Saccharomyces cerevisiae S288C: one gene and its partners. The protein of the gene in region 1 interacts with the protein of each later gene in a biochemical or structural test. Each region holds a gene or a part of one and is shown on either strand. Other genes may lie near its edges.

Region 1 (3,789 bases):
TAAGTCTAGAAGAAGGTGTCACCAAAACAACACATAGTCACGTTACCATTTTCACCAAGCATCACCTCCCATTCAGTTCTGACGAGCTTTGCGACATATTGCAATCATCTGCTGTTGATATATTGCAAATGGACGATAATAATAACAGTCTACCAACTATTGAATTGGGAAGCGGAATAAACGTTCAAATATTGGTTGAACGAAGCAAAAGGCACAACTGTCCCAGATGTTGGAAGGCCAACTCAGCCGAAGAGGATAAATTGTGTGACAGATGTAAAGAAGCTGTGGATCATCTCATGTCTTGAATGACATGTACCTTTCCTGTATATAAAGAATGCCAATTATTGGCTCTTAGAAAATAAAAACCCTCTTGTACTTATTAGTGGGTACCTAACAGGTCCCCTACTGACATTTTGATGCAGGGCCTCGGCCTATTGTTCTTACCAGCTCTCAGCGCGTTATACGAACAGGAAGCAAAGAAGAGAAATGTAAAAATATTGCTTTTGAGAGACCGTGTAAGGATAAGTGTTACACCCAAGGCACCCTCACCAGGAACATGACTGTCATGAATCTTTTCTTCAGGCCCTGTCAACTGCAGATGGGCTCTGGACCGTTGGAGCTCATGCTTAAAAGGCCAACGCAATTGACCACGTTTATGAACACCAGGCCCGGCGGATCAACCCAAATTAGATTCATATCGGGAAATTTAGATCCAGTGAAAAGAAGGGAGGATAGACTACGTAAAATATTTTCCAAGTCACGACTTTTAACAAGGTTAAACAAGAATCCTAAATTTTCACACTATTTCGACCGCCTCAGTGAGGCCGGCACGGTTCCAACACTTACATCATTCTTCATCTTGCATGAGGTAACTGCCATACTACCACTGTTTCTACTATGGTGGTTACTTTATAACCTCGATCTTTCTGATGATTTTAAGCTCCCAAACTTCTTAAATGGCCTAATGGATAGCTGTCATACAGCTATGGAGAAATTTGTTGGTAAGAGATATCAGGAATGCCTCAACAAAAACAAGTTGATTTTATCTGGCACAGTAGCCTACGTTACAGTAAAATTACTATATCCGGTACGCATTTTCATTAGTATCTGGGGAGCACCATATTTTGGGAAATGGTTGCTTCTTCCCTTTCAAAAATTAAAGCACCTTATTAAGAAATAAAGCTTTTTTTTCCTTTTTTTTTTCTGGCCCAGAGACGGATTATTGTTTTCAGTTGAAGTTGCGCACTCGGCATATGATTTATAGATTCCCAATATATTGTACTTCGTTATATATGTGTTACGAATATTTTTGATTTCGTTTTAGAGAGTTTTGATTAGAGGAAATTATAGCTTTTTTTAACAGTGAAATAAATATCATACATCAAAAGTCTTCAAGAATTACGTGGTGTGGCTTAAGTTGCGTTTCATTTTCCCGCTTCAATACTTGAAAGTTATCCCACAATCACTGCTGACAAAAAGGATACAAGAAAGGTTTATAGGAAAGAAAAAAGGCGGAAGGGTATACTGAAGTTAGTAATTTTGCTTCCCAATTGAATTAAGGCCGCCTAGTTTTGACGGGAGGAGAGAGAAATGTATAATGGCAAGGATAGAGCACAAAACTCCTATCAGCCAATGTACCAAAGGCCTATGCAGGTACAAGGACAACAGCAAGCTCAATCGTTCGTTGGAAAGAAAAACACAATCGGAAGTGTGCATGGAAAAGCCCCGATGCTAATGGCCAATAATGATGTTTTTACTATTGGACCTTATAGGGCAAGAAAAGATAGAATGCGGGTATCTGTCTTAGAAAAGTACGAAGTTATTGGCTACATTGCTGCGGGCACATATGGTAAAGTTTACAAAGCGAAAAGACAAATCAACTCCGGTACCAATTCCGCTAATGGTTCTAGTCTGAATGGTACCAATGCGAAAATTCCGCAGTTTGACAGCACGCAACCAAAATCAAGCTCTTCAATGGACATGCAGGCAAATACAAACGCATTAAGAAGAAACTTGTTAAAGGATGAAGGAGTGACCCCCGGAAGAATACGAACTACGAGGGAAGATGTATCCCCGCACTATAATTCCCAAAAACAAACCCTCATTAAAAAACCGCTGACGGTATTTTATGCCATTAAAAAGTTCAAGACAGAGAAGGATGGCGTCGAACAATTGCATTATACGGGAATATCTCAGAGTGCCTGTAGAGAAATGGCATTATGTCGAGAATTGCACAACAAGCATTTAACCACATTAGTGGAAATTTTTTTGGAAAGGAAATGTGTCCATATGGTATACGAATATGCGGAGCATGATCTGCTACAAATTATCCACTTCCATTCCCATCCCGAAAAAAGGATGATACCACCAAGAATGGTTCGGTCTATTATGTGGCAGCTTTTAGACGGCGTATCGTATCTTCATCAAAATTGGGTGCTTCATCGAGATTTGAAACCCGCAAATATAATGGTGACCATAGATGGATGTGTTAAAATTGGTGATTTAGGTTTGGCCAGAAAATTTCATAATATGCTGCAAACCCTCTATACTGGGGATAAAGTGGTTGTCACTATATGGTACCGTGCACCTGAGTTGCTATTGGGAGCACGGCACTATACCCCTGCGGTTGATTTATGGTCCGTTGGCTGCATTTTTGCAGAACTGATAGGATTACAGCCCATATTTAAAGGTGAAGAAGCTAAACTAGACTCTAAAAAGACTGTTCCATTTCAAGTGAATCAACTACAGAGAATTTTGGAAGTTCTTGGCACTCCCGATCAAAAAATTTGGCCTTATTTGGAGAAGTATCCAGAATATGATCAAATTACGAAGTTTCCAAAGTATAGGGATAACCTTGCTACATGGTATCATTCCGCGGGAGGAAGGGACAAGCATGCTTTAAGCTTACTTTACCACTTGTTAAATTATGATCCAATTAAAAGAATAGATGCATTTAATGCGTTGGAACATAAGTACTTCACAGAAAGTGATATTCCTGTTAGTGAAAATGTATTTGAAGGTCTAACTTACAAATACCCGGCAAGAAGAATTCACACGAACGATAATGACATCATGAATCTTGGATCAAGAACGAAAAACAATACACAAGCTTCAGGAATCACCGCAGGTGCCGCTGCAAATGCGTTAGGTGGGCTTGGTGTTAACCGTAGAATTCTGGCCGCGGCAGCAGCAGCCGCTGCTGCGGTGTCAGGAAACAATGCATCAGATGAGCCATCTCGAAAGAAAAACAGAAGATAGGCTTCTATTTTTATATATATTTGGAATTTTTCATTCCACAGCACTGTCACTATTATATTCATTAAACTTTTTTTTATCTTTATAGTATTTAAATCGGCATACAGTTTCAATTTTTCGCTTTAGAGGCACTAAGAATGCAAGTCTGCAACATTCAGGTAAAATAATGGGTTGATTTTAGGTCGAGCTAAAACCCTGTTCTCCGCAGATGTATGCGAATTTCGTCATAATTCATCTCAACTAATGGGGCTTTAAAACATATGAATATCTCATGCATTCCCAAAAAAGAAGAAAGAAAAGACTTCAAGTACCCCCCTTAATTTTTATATAATGGTAGTAGTAGGTTTGTTCGTAACTTATCGGCAATAGTAATATGTTCCCATTATAACACATCTGTTAATGGTATTCAGGTTAATAACCATAGCAAAAAATATAAACAACTTTGTACATTTTCCATAAAAAAGAATGACTTTACGAAAACATTGGATGAAACAACCAGTTCATCCCGTTCAAAGTCTAAACTACGTATAAAGT
Region 2 (3,467 bases), on another chromosome or scaffold:
TATGAATTACCTGCGAGATAGATTTCCTCCGGATAATGACCAAAGACCCTTTAGATGTGAAATTTGTTCACGAGGTTTCCACAGACTTGAACATAAAAAAAGGCACGGAAGAACGCACACTGGCGAGAAGCCTCACAAATGTACCGTTCAGGGCTGTCCGAAAAGCTTCAGCCGAAGCGATGAACTAAAAAGACATTTGAGGACACATACTAAAGGCGTCCAAAGGCGCAGAATAAAATCCAAGGGCTCGCGAAAAACCGTTGTGAATACTGCTACCGCCGCCCCTACCACCTTCAATGAAAACACTGGTGTTTCGCTCACGGGGATAGGTCAATCTAAAGTGCCACCTATTCTTATCTCCGTTGCTCAGAATTGCGATGACGTGAATATACGAAATACTGGAAATAATAATGGCATTGTGGAGACACAGGCACCTGCAATTTTAGTGCCTGTGATAAATATTCCAAATGACCCTCATCCGATTCCAAGTAGCCTCTCCACTACTTCTATCACCTCCATTGCATCAGTATATCCCTCTACTTCTCCATTCCAGTACCTGAAAAGCGGGTTTCCTGAAGATCCTGCATCTACACCGTATGTACATTCGTCCGGAAGTTCTTTAGCCCTGGGTGAATTGTCTTCAAACTCCTCTATATTTTCGAAATCTAGGAGGAATTTGGCCGCCATGAGTGGTCCTGATTCTTTGAGTAGTTCTAAAAACCAATCCAGTGCTTCGCTTCTTTCTCAAACTTCACATCCATCAAAGAGCTTTTCAAGACCGCCAACAGACTTAAGTCCTCTGCGAAGAATCATGCCTTCTGTAAACACAGGAGACATGGAAATTTCAAGGACAGTATCCGTTTCGAGCAGTTCATCATCACTCACTTCTGTTACGTATGATGACACCGCGGCTAAAGACATGGGCATGGGAATATTTTTTGATAGGCCACCTGTAACACAGAAAGCTTGCAGGAGCAATCATAAGTACAAGGTTAATGCTGTTAGCAGAGGGAGACAACATGAAAGGGCACAATTTCATATATCTGGAGATGATGAGGACAGTAACGTTCACCGCCAAGAATCAAGAGCATCCAACACAAGTCCCAATGTATCATTGCCTCCGATAAAGAGCATTTTGCGACAAATTGATAATTTCAACAGTGCTCCTTCTTACTTCAGTAAATAAACAAGCAGTAAATAAAACGTATAGAATATAAGAAGGAAAATAACAATGGGTTCTTGAAACTTGATATACTTTTTCCTGGAATGAAGACGCAAAGAAAACCTTTGGAGAAAATCATTGCAAATTTAAAAGCTGTGCTTCAAAAAACCCATGTGAGACTGAAACATGGTCCAGTGGTCTTCATCCGGACCGGTTCAAAGTCCTGCTCTACCTTCAATAATTTGTCTTTACCGTTAAAACACAGGCCACGCTATTTTTTTTGTTGCACTAATTTTCATCCTTAAGCGACCAATTTGCTCCCCTTTGGAAAAGCTCACGAAAAAACGTGGCAAAGAAAACAATACCGATCTCGTAGGATTTGGGCCACTGTTGTAATCGCAAGTAGAGAGCATCCTAGATAAGAGCTACTATATTTTGTATAAGGTCGTTTCCTGCACAATAATAAATTATCTACACTGAAATATGGCTGGCGACAACCCTGAAAACAAGGATGCTTCCATGTTAGATGTCAGTGACGCAGCTAGCAACACTACGATTAATGGTAAACATAGCGCCGATTCAACTAATGAGGCTTCCCTGGCGTACACTTTTTCTCAAATGAACGTAGATAATCCTAATGAATTAGAGCCTCAGCATCCTTTAAGACATAAATCGAGTTTAATTTTTAACGACGATGATGACGATGAAATACCTCCATATTCAAACCATGCGGAAAATGGTTCTGGGGAGACCTTTGATTCTGATGATGATATCGATGCTAGCAGCTCGAGTAGTATCGACAGCAACGAAGGCGATATCCACGATGCAGATATGACAGGAAATACCTTGCAAAAAATGGATTATCAACCATCTCAGCAGCCTGACTCACTTCAAAATCAAGGCTTTCAACAGCAACAAGAACAGCAACAGGGCACTGTGGAAGGCAAGAAAGGAAGAGCTATGATGTTTCCAGTTGACATCACTTGGCAACAGGGGGGTAATAAAGTGTACGTTACTGGGTCTTTTACGGGATGGAGAAAGATGATCGGGTTAGTACCAGTCCCTGGACAGCCTGGACTTATGCATGTAAAATTACAGCTGCCTCCAGGTACTCATCGTTTCAGATTTATTGTTGACAATGAGTTAAGATTCAGTGATTATTTACCTACCGCAACCGACCAAATGGGAAACTTCGTCAACTATATGGAAGTGAGCGCACCGCCTGATTGGGGCAATGAACCTCAGCAGCATCTGGCTGAAAAAAAAGCGAATCATGTAGATGATAGCAAATTGAGTAAGAGACCTATGAGCGCTCGCTCGAGAATCGCATTGGAGATAGAAAAGGAACCAGATGACATGGGCGATGGTTACACTCGTTTTCACGATGAGACCCCCGCTAAACCTAATTTAGAGTACACTCAAGATATACCTGCTGTGTTCACCGACCCAAATGTAATGGAACAATATTATTTGACACTTGATCAGCAGCAAAATAATCACCAAAATATGGCCTGGTTGACTCCTCCACAACTGCCACCTCATTTAGAAAACGTCATTTTGAATAGTTACTCAAACGCGCAAACTGATAATACGTCTGGCGCCCTTCCCATTCCGAACCATGTTATATTGAACCATCTGGCGACAAGCAGTATTAAGCATAATACATTATGTGTCGCATCCATTGTTAGGTATAAACAAAAATACGTGACCCAAATACTGTATACACCATTGCAATAGATATGATTATAGAGCTTATAGCTACATCTTTTTAGATAAAAGCGAAGATGTTTCTGCGATTTTTCCATTATAGCTCTCCATGATACTAAATATCAAGGTCTACATGTAAGTATTTGTATATATGGGTTGGAATGTATATACGTATATACGTACGTACGTACGTATATGCACATAATTGTTACGGGATGTATATATAAATTAGTAGCATTATAGAAGATATCCCTAACATCAATCCCCACTCCTTCTCAATGTGTGCAGACTTCTGTGCCAGACACTGAATATATATCAGTAATTGGTCAAAATCACTTTGAACGTTCACACGGCACCCTCACGCCTTTGAGCTTTCACATGGACCCATCTAAAGATGAAGATCCGTATTTTATAGGAAACATTATAAATAAGGAAAGAGAGATACACCTATTTTTTTCATTTTGTGGGTGATTGTCATTTTTAGTTGTCTATTTGATTCAATCAAAAAACAAAAATAAAACTATATATTAAAAAATGGTTGAATCAGATGAAGATTTCGCACCTCAAGAATTCCCACACACGGACACAGACGTTATCG
Region 3 (3,332 bases), on another chromosome or scaffold:
TGCAAAAGAAACAGCAGAAGCTGGAAAAGGAAAAACTATTCAATAATGGTAATCATTAGTGCAGAAAGGGAAAAGGAAAAAAGCGAAGAGATAACTAAAAAGGATTAATAGTATACGTAATTTAGTCTACTGTAAGTATGGTCAAAAATTTTCTTTAGTGAGAAAAAAAAAAAAAAAGAGAAACGATAAACGCTGTACAATACCAGTGACTGCACTGCTCCGAAAACGTCCGAGATATGTATATTGTCCGAATTTTTTCATACTTTAATAGCTGGCCAGAGAAACCTTATAATTTTGTGGCTGCAAGCTATCGCGCTGTTCCTCTGTGACAGGCAACACAGAACAACTAACCGCCTGTCTTTTATGCCTGTACACTTCATTAAAATTTACCGTTTTCTTCCATTACAAGCGGGGACACTTTCCGTTTAAACCTGCAATATGTTGCAGGGCCTATCCACGCCAATTTACTGTGGCAGAAGTTACTGCAGTGGAAGAACTACCTTTTCCAGCATAGCCTCCGCCACCAAAAAATGCAGGTGCTGCGTTTTCTGGATACGTGGCTGGCCTTTAAAACGCATGGGAGGGACAGTATCTCACCGATTTGGTAATGCCGTGATGCAACCTCGAGGATCCGGTTTTCAAGAGCGGAAGTAAAAAACCGGGAAGATCTAATATTTCCTTATGCAGGTATTCTGTGACTAAAAAGTATAGAAGACTATTTTGCACCGCTCCCTGATTAGACTTCGTGCGATATTATTGATGGATATCGTCTTTATCTTTCCGTGGACCTAAAACGGCACCCCTTCGTCTAGGATAAACGCGGTCGGCTCTTTCGAAGACTAAAAAAGCAGCCACAATAACGTTACATGCAAAATCAGCCCACTCGAAGTTAGATACTGCGTAGACGGATTTGCACGATGCGATGATAAATATTAGGGACAGTGCGTGCCCACCCATAAGTTGCTGTAGAGCTTACAAATTGTAAAGACTAATTCCAATCGCACGCCCACCCCTCACGGGAATAAGTTAGAATGTTGCGGAATGAACGATAACTTCATATTAGGTAAAAGGGAAGAATGCAACGCTGCGGTCTACGGGCTTTTTTCTGCGAGACCAATTTTCTTCTTTTGTTTTTTTATTTCGATATTTAGTTTTCATGCAAACGGGTATTATTCTTGACAGGCCATTATGTAAGAGTGTGGAAACATAATTCTTGCACATACGACGTTTTCTTAACTGTTCCTGTTTCAAGTTACGGAAACGCCTGTGGCCCAGGTAGCGTAGGCAAAATCAAGCTCAGAATGGGTTACGTAATTATGACGTTTTCGAGTGCGAGGATGTCAGAAAGGAGAGCCAGAATTATATATATATGGATGCATCTCTCTGCATATAAAATTAATTTCCCTTTCGTACAGTTCCCTACTTTTTTTTCCCTCTTTCGTTTGCAAAAGAAGGCGGCCATACTCATTAAAAACCCCTCCCCATTTTTCCTTTTTTTTTTGTTTCCATATAGGAAGAACTCTACAGCTCGAACAATACATCAAATCAATCAAGCAGTCGCTCTCGTTCTATTGTGTGTTTCTCACCACCTTACATATCTCCCCTCAGTTCCCAGCCTATAACTTTGTGGTTCTCTTCTTTTCAACTTCTTCTTCTTGACATTATACTTTAATAAGACCATTACTTCTTTTTCTTTGCTGGAATTCATAATTCATTAAGCAGAAAATATGTACCATGTTCCTGAAATGAGGCTACATTACCCCCTGGTGAACACTCAATCTAACGCCGCAATAACACCCACCAGAAGTTACGACAATACCCTTCCTTCGTTTAACGAGCTATCACACCAGAGTACAATCAATCTTCCATTCGTCCAACGCGAAACTCCAAACGCATATGCTAATGTTGCCCAATTAGCTACGTCGCCAACTCAGGCTAAATCAGGGTATTATTGTCGCTATTATGCTGTGCCTTTTCCCACATATCCACAACAACCACAATCTCCATATCAACAAGCTGTACTTCCTTATGCCACCATTCCCAACAGCAATTTCCAACCATCTTCTTTCCCTGTGATGGCAGTGATGCCTCCAGAGGTTCAATTTGATGGATCATTCTTGAACACCTTACATCCTCACACAGAGTTGCCTCCAATCATTCAAAACACTAATGATACTAGCGTCGCACGTCCAAATAACCTTAAATCAATAGCAGCAGCGTCACCAACAGTGACAGCAACAACAAGAACACCTGGCGTCAGTTCAACGTCAGTTCTCAAACCACGCGTTATAACTACGATGTGGGAAGATGAGAATACTATCTGCTACCAAGTAGAGGCGAACGGTATATCAGTCGTGCGTAGGGCTGACAACAACATGATTAACGGCACCAAGTTGTTGAATGTCACGAAGATGACAAGGGGGAGAAGGGATGGAATATTAAGATCCGAGAAGGTTAGGGAAGTCGTGAAGATTGGCTCCATGCACCTCAAGGGTGTTTGGATTCCTTTCGAAAGGGCTTATATCCTGGCTCAACGTGAACAGATTCTAGATCATCTGTACCCGCTCTTCGTCAAAGATATAGAATCCATTGTTGATGCCAGAAAGCCCAGCAACAAGGCATCTTTGACCCCCAAATCTAGCCCTGCCCCCATCAAGCAAGAACCATCTGATAATAAACACGAAATTGCTACTGAAATTAAGCCGAAGAGTATTGATGCTTTATCGAATGGAGCATCTACTCAGGGTGCTGGCGAACTGCCCCACTTAAAAATCAACCATATCGATACTGAGGCCCAAACAAGTAGAGCAAAAAATGAATTATCATAAGCACATAACATAATCCGTTAACTCTTTGCTCTATGAACAAGAACCGAAGTTCTAGAAAGGCTGATAGGATTCGTACAATCATTTTTACGGTCGAACTTCTGTAGTTACTCGATATATAAATATAAATAACGGACATAAAAAAAAAAATTGTAACATTATAAATCATAAAATCATAATCATATCTATTTCTAACTTCTGACTATTGCGCAATTCGTTAGAGTCTTTCCACCACGTCGATTGGACAAATCTTTATCTGTCTACTTCTAATATACTGTACATCATACCTGTCTTTTTATGCTGCTATTGTGGAGGAACCGTCATCTTTTCGCGCGAAAAAACAATATGATGCCTTTTTGAAACATGTTATTATTTGATTTTTTAATGGCTTCTATTACGCGTCGTGGTTGGTGAACCTGGTACAAAATAAATAAAAAAACACCTGCTAAAAAATATCAAATAAAGTAAGGAAGGTAATACAAAAAGAGAGCGTTGGCTCGTGTTACA
Region 4 (5,209 bases), 390 kb from region 1:
ATGAAAAAAAATGGAATATGAATAATTACTGGGAGGAAGACCAGGGGCAAGGGGTGAACCATCTTGTCATCTGAAATCTTGTATAAATAATTTAGTAATCAGTTCTTTAGGTTTTCGAGAGTGGCATACAACCTAAAGGGTCAACAGACAACAAGAAGGAAAGGAATTATAGGAGCAAATACACGCCCTTCAAATGGATCCCTTTCACAATGGCAATAAAAGGAGCTCAATATCGTTTGGCTCATCGCAGCGGCAGCCATATAACAAGAACAATTACTTGAGTGGTACTAATGGGCCTTCCTCGGCGGCACAAGATCAAGGTAGAGGCCCATCTCCCTTTGGAATGTCTGGCAACACTACCAATGGCGGTAACAGCAAAAGGAATAGTGGCTGTGACCTAAGTGCCACGTACTATGCAAGTCGATCGCCGATGTATTCACCGTTAGATTTCTCGCCACCAGTTTTTTCACCAAATCATTCTCAGTTACAGCAGGCGAGGGGCTATGCTGCAAATATTCCGGTTGTAAGCAATCTGATGAACCCTTCCATGGCCTCCGTGTGCGAATATCAATCACACTATCCACTCTTTGGGCTCGATTGGAGCGCCGACGACTACGTCTGCTTGGGTTCGTACAAAGAGGACAGCAGAAATAAGTTGCAGGTTCTGCACTCTAATGATCTACTGAGCTGGGAAAGCGTAGTGGACGCAGATGTGGTTTATCCTGTGAGCAAAATCCAATGGGTCCCCTCTCAATTGTATCCAAGGAAACTCGCGACGTGTTCTGACTCCTTACGGATTTGGAGCGTTAGCCCTGAGGAAAGACAGTTCCAAGAACAAATAAATCTATCTCTGTGTAAATACAATAGACAGCACCCCGCCAATCCCGCGGCCGCAGATGACATGAAGGTCATAGGCACTTTCCCACCAATAACATCATTTGACTGGAACACGGTCGATACTAACTTGATAATCTCAAGTTCCATCGACACCACATGCATTGTATGGGATCTGCAAAGCAGTCACTACGTTAAGACCCAATTGATCGCTCACGACAGCGAAGTTTTTGATGTAAGGTTTTTGACAAAATCGACCCAATTATTTGCTAGTTGTGGTGGGGACGGTAGTGTACGAGTATTTGATTTAAGATCGCTTGCGCACAGTACAATTATTTACGAGCCTCCCTCTTCCTCAGTGTCTGGAGCCACTGCGGGTACTATAACACCGTCGTCGAAAGGTTCGGACGCCTTATTGAGGCTGGAGCCATCACCGTATGACCCAAATGTGTTGGCCACTTTTGCAGCTGACTCGAACAAAATCATTATTCTAGATATGAGGAACCCAGAATCCCCTATACTAAACTTACAAGGCCACGGTTCTTCGGTAAACGGGATTAAATGGCATCCCACAAAGCGCAATGTTTTGCTCTCGTGCGGAGATGACTGCCAGGTGCTCTATTGGGACTTGAACAGCTCCTTTATGGAAATTAACGCTGCAGGTAGCAAATCCCCCAGTATTCATGGAACTTCCTTGGAGGACCCTGACGGCGACACAGAGATGACAGACGGTGGCGCAGGATCCGGTTTAAACGAGGATCCCTTAAGTTTAAACAACAACAGCAAGCAGGTGTGCAAGACACTAGAGACTCCTAACATGATGTATGCCAATAAAACACAAGAGATAAACAACATTGCATGGAGGCCCCAGAGGGGCGATTGGTTTGGGTGCGTGAGCGGCAAGAAGTTTCAAAACGTCCGCGTCCTTTGAGACAGCATTCGCCCAGTATTTTTTTTATTCTACAAACCTTCTATAATTTCAAAGTATTTACATAATTCTGTATCAGTTTAATCACCATAATATCGTTTTCTTTGTTTAGTGCAATTAATTTTTCCTATTGTTACTTCGGGCCTTTTTCTGTTTTATGAGCTATTTTTTCCGTCATCCTTCCCCAGATTTTCAGCTTCATCTCCAGATTGTGTCTACGTAATGCACGCCATCATTTTAAGAGAGGACAGAGAAGCAAGCCTCCTGAAAGATGAAGCTACTGTCTTCTATCGAACAAGCATGCGATATTTGCCGACTTAAAAAGCTCAAGTGCTCCAAAGAAAAACCGAAGTGCGCCAAGTGTCTGAAGAACAACTGGGAGTGTCGCTACTCTCCCAAAACCAAAAGGTCTCCGCTGACTAGGGCACATCTGACAGAAGTGGAATCAAGGCTAGAAAGACTGGAACAGCTATTTCTACTGATTTTTCCTCGAGAAGACCTTGACATGATTTTGAAAATGGATTCTTTACAGGATATAAAAGCATTGTTAACAGGATTATTTGTACAAGATAATGTGAATAAAGATGCCGTCACAGATAGATTGGCTTCAGTGGAGACTGATATGCCTCTAACATTGAGACAGCATAGAATAAGTGCGACATCATCATCGGAAGAGAGTAGTAACAAAGGTCAAAGACAGTTGACTGTATCGATTGACTCGGCAGCTCATCATGATAACTCCACAATTCCGTTGGATTTTATGCCCAGGGATGCTCTTCATGGATTTGATTGGTCTGAAGAGGATGACATGTCGGATGGCTTGCCCTTCCTGAAAACGGACCCCAACAATAATGGGTTCTTTGGCGACGGTTCTCTCTTATGTATTCTTCGATCTATTGGCTTTAAACCGGAAAATTACACGAACTCTAACGTTAACAGGCTCCCGACCATGATTACGGATAGATACACGTTGGCTTCTAGATCCACAACATCCCGTTTACTTCAAAGTTATCTCAATAATTTTCACCCCTACTGCCCTATCGTGCACTCACCGACGCTAATGATGTTGTATAATAACCAGATTGAAATCGCGTCGAAGGATCAATGGCAAATCCTTTTTAACTGCATATTAGCCATTGGAGCCTGGTGTATAGAGGGGGAATCTACTGATATAGATGTTTTTTACTATCAAAATGCTAAATCTCATTTGACGAGCAAGGTCTTCGAGTCAGGTTCCATAATTTTGGTGACAGCCCTACATCTTCTGTCGCGATATACACAGTGGAGGCAGAAAACAAATACTAGCTATAATTTTCACAGCTTTTCCATAAGAATGGCCATATCATTGGGCTTGAATAGGGACCTCCCCTCGTCCTTCAGTGATAGCAGCATTCTGGAACAAAGACGCCGAATTTGGTGGTCTGTCTACTCTTGGGAGATCCAATTGTCCCTGCTTTATGGTCGATCCATCCAGCTTTCTCAGAATACAATCTCCTTCCCTTCTTCTGTCGACGATGTGCAGCGTACCACAACAGGTCCCACCATATATCATGGCATCATTGAAACAGCAAGGCTCTTACAAGTTTTCACAAAAATCTATGAACTAGACAAAACAGTAACTGCAGAAAAAAGTCCTATATGTGCAAAAAAATGCTTGATGATTTGTAATGAGATTGAGGAGGTTTCGAGACAGGCACCAAAGTTTTTACAAATGGATATTTCCACCACCGCTCTAACCAATTTGTTGAAGGAACACCCTTGGCTATCCTTTACAAGATTCGAACTGAAGTGGAAACAGTTGTCTCTTATCATTTATGTATTAAGAGATTTTTTCACTAATTTTACCCAGAAAAAGTCACAACTAGAACAGGATCAAAATGATCATCAAAGTTATGAAGTTAAACGATGCTCCATCATGTTAAGCGATGCAGCACAAAGAACTGTTATGTCTGTAAGTAGCTATATGGACAATCATAATGTCACCCCATATTTTGCCTGGAATTGTTCTTATTACTTGTTCAATGCAGTCCTAGTACCCATAAAGACTCTACTCTCAAACTCAAAATCGAATGCTGAGAATAACGAGACCGCACAATTATTACAACAAATTAACACTGTTCTGATGCTATTAAAAAAACTGGCCACTTTTAAAATCCAGACTTGTGAAAAATACATTCAAGTACTGGAAGAGGTATGTGCGCCGTTTCTGTTATCACAGTGTGCAATCCCATTACCGCATATCAGTTATAACAATAGTAATGGTAGCGCCATTAAAAATATTGTCGGTTCTGCAACTATCGCCCAATACCCTACTCTTCCGGAGGAAAATGTCAACAATATCAGTGTTAAATATGTTTCTCCTGGCTCAGTAGGGCCTTCACCTGTGCCATTGAAATCAGGAGCAAGTTTCAGTGATCTAGTCAAGCTGTTATCTAACCGTCCACCCTCTCGTAACTCTCCAGTGACAATACCAAGAAGCACACCTTCGCATCGCTCAGTCACGCCTTTTCTAGGGCAACAGCAACAGCTGCAATCATTAGTGCCACTGACCCCGTCTGCTTTGTTTGGTGGCGCCAATTTTAATCAAAGTGGGAATATTGCTGATAGCTCATTGTCCTTCACTTTCACTAACAGTAGCAACGGTCCGAACCTCATAACAACTCAAACAAATTCTCAAGCGCTTTCACAACCAATTGCCTCCTCTAACGTTCATGATAACTTCATGAATAATGAAATCACGGCTAGTAAAATTGATGATGGTAATAATTCAAAACCACTGTCACCTGGTTGGACGGACCAAACTGCGTATAACGCGTTTGGAATCACTACAGGGATGTTTAATACCACTACAATGGATGATGTATATAACTATCTATTCGATGATGAAGATACCCCACCAAACCCAAAAAAAGAGTAAAATGAATCGTAGATACTGAAAAACCCCGCAAGTTCACTTCAACTGTGCATCGTGCACCATCTCAATTTCTTTCATTTATACATCGTTTTGCCTTCTTTTATGTAACTATACTCCTCTAAGTTTCAATCTTGGCCATGTAACCTCTGATCTATAGAATTTTTTAAATGACTAGAATTAATGCCCATCTTTTTTTTGGACCTAAATTCTTCATGAAAATATATTACGAGGGCTTATTCAGAAGCTTCGCTCATATAACGAAAAAAAAGGGTTTGGATCGAACGTAATTGAGATTGATTAGTTAATACTCAAAATAAAACAGCTCCTACCACCAGTGTAAAGTAGAACGTTAATAGAGCAATGTCTTCAGACAAATCTATTGAGAAAAATACAGATACGATCGCCTCTGAAGTTCACGAAGGTGATAATCATTCGAATAATTTGGGTTCAATGGAGGAAGAGATAAAATCAACGCCATCAGACCAATATGAAGAGATAGCTATAATTCCAACTGAGCCCCTCCATTCGGACAA

The links.
Region 2: of the proteins of SSN3 (region 1) and GAL83, one has a biochemical effect on the other in vitro, tested with the Saccharomyces cerevisiae proteins (one study listed by BioGRID).
Region 3: of the proteins of SSN3 (region 1) and PHD1, one has a biochemical effect on the other in vitro, tested with the Saccharomyces cerevisiae proteins (one study listed by BioGRID).
Region 4: of the proteins of SSN3 (region 1) and GAL4, one has a biochemical effect on the other in vitro, tested with the Saccharomyces cerevisiae proteins (3 studies listed by BioGRID).

Annotation. Positions count from the first base shown.
Region 1 is NC_001148.4:472,509-476,297, reverse strand, and holds SSN3 (cyclin-dependent serine/threonine protein kinase SSN3), read left to right. Parts: upstream 1-1,590; coding exon 1,591-3,258; downstream 3,259-3,789. Other genes in the region: isoleucine--tRNA ligase ISM1, read left to right, coding at 1-305; MRX11 (Mrx11p), read left to right, coding at 557-1,180. UniProt on the Saccharomyces cerevisiae protein: Component of the SRB8-11 complex. The SRB8-11 complex is a regulatory module of the Mediator complex which is itself involved in regulation of basal and activated RNA polymerase II-dependent transcription.
Region 2 is NC_001137.3:208,411-211,877, reverse strand, and holds GAL83 (Gal83p), read left to right. Parts: upstream 1-1,645; coding exon 1,646-2,899; downstream 2,900-3,467. Other genes in the region: MIG3 (Mig3p), read left to right, coding at 2-1,186; CHO1 (CDP-diacylglycerol-serine O-phosphatidyltransferase), read left to right, coding at 3,404-3,467. UniProt on the Saccharomyces cerevisiae protein: Beta subunit of the SNF1 kinase complex, which is required for transcriptional, metabolic, and developmental adaptations in response to glucose limitation.
Region 3 is NC_001143.9:355,021-358,352, forward strand, and holds PHD1 (Phd1p), read left to right. Parts: upstream 1-1,727; coding exon 1,728-2,828; downstream 2,829-3,332. Other genes in the region: DNA primase subunit PRI2, read left to right, coding at 1-59; MMO1 (Mmo1p), read left to right, coding at 1,302-1,622. UniProt on the Saccharomyces cerevisiae protein: Putative transcription factor that functions in pseudohyphal growth.
Region 4 is NC_001148.4:79,181-84,389, reverse strand, and holds GAL4 (galactose-responsive transcription factor GAL4), read left to right. Parts: upstream 1-2,033; coding exon 2,034-4,679; downstream 4,680-5,209. Other genes in the region: YPL247C (uncharacterized protein), read left to right, coding at 194-1,765; GTPase-activating protein GYP5, read left to right, coding at 5,037-5,209. UniProt on the Saccharomyces cerevisiae protein: This protein is a positive regulator for the gene expression of the galactose-induced genes such as GAL1, GAL2, GAL7, GAL10, and MEL1 which code for the enzymes used to convert galactose to glucose.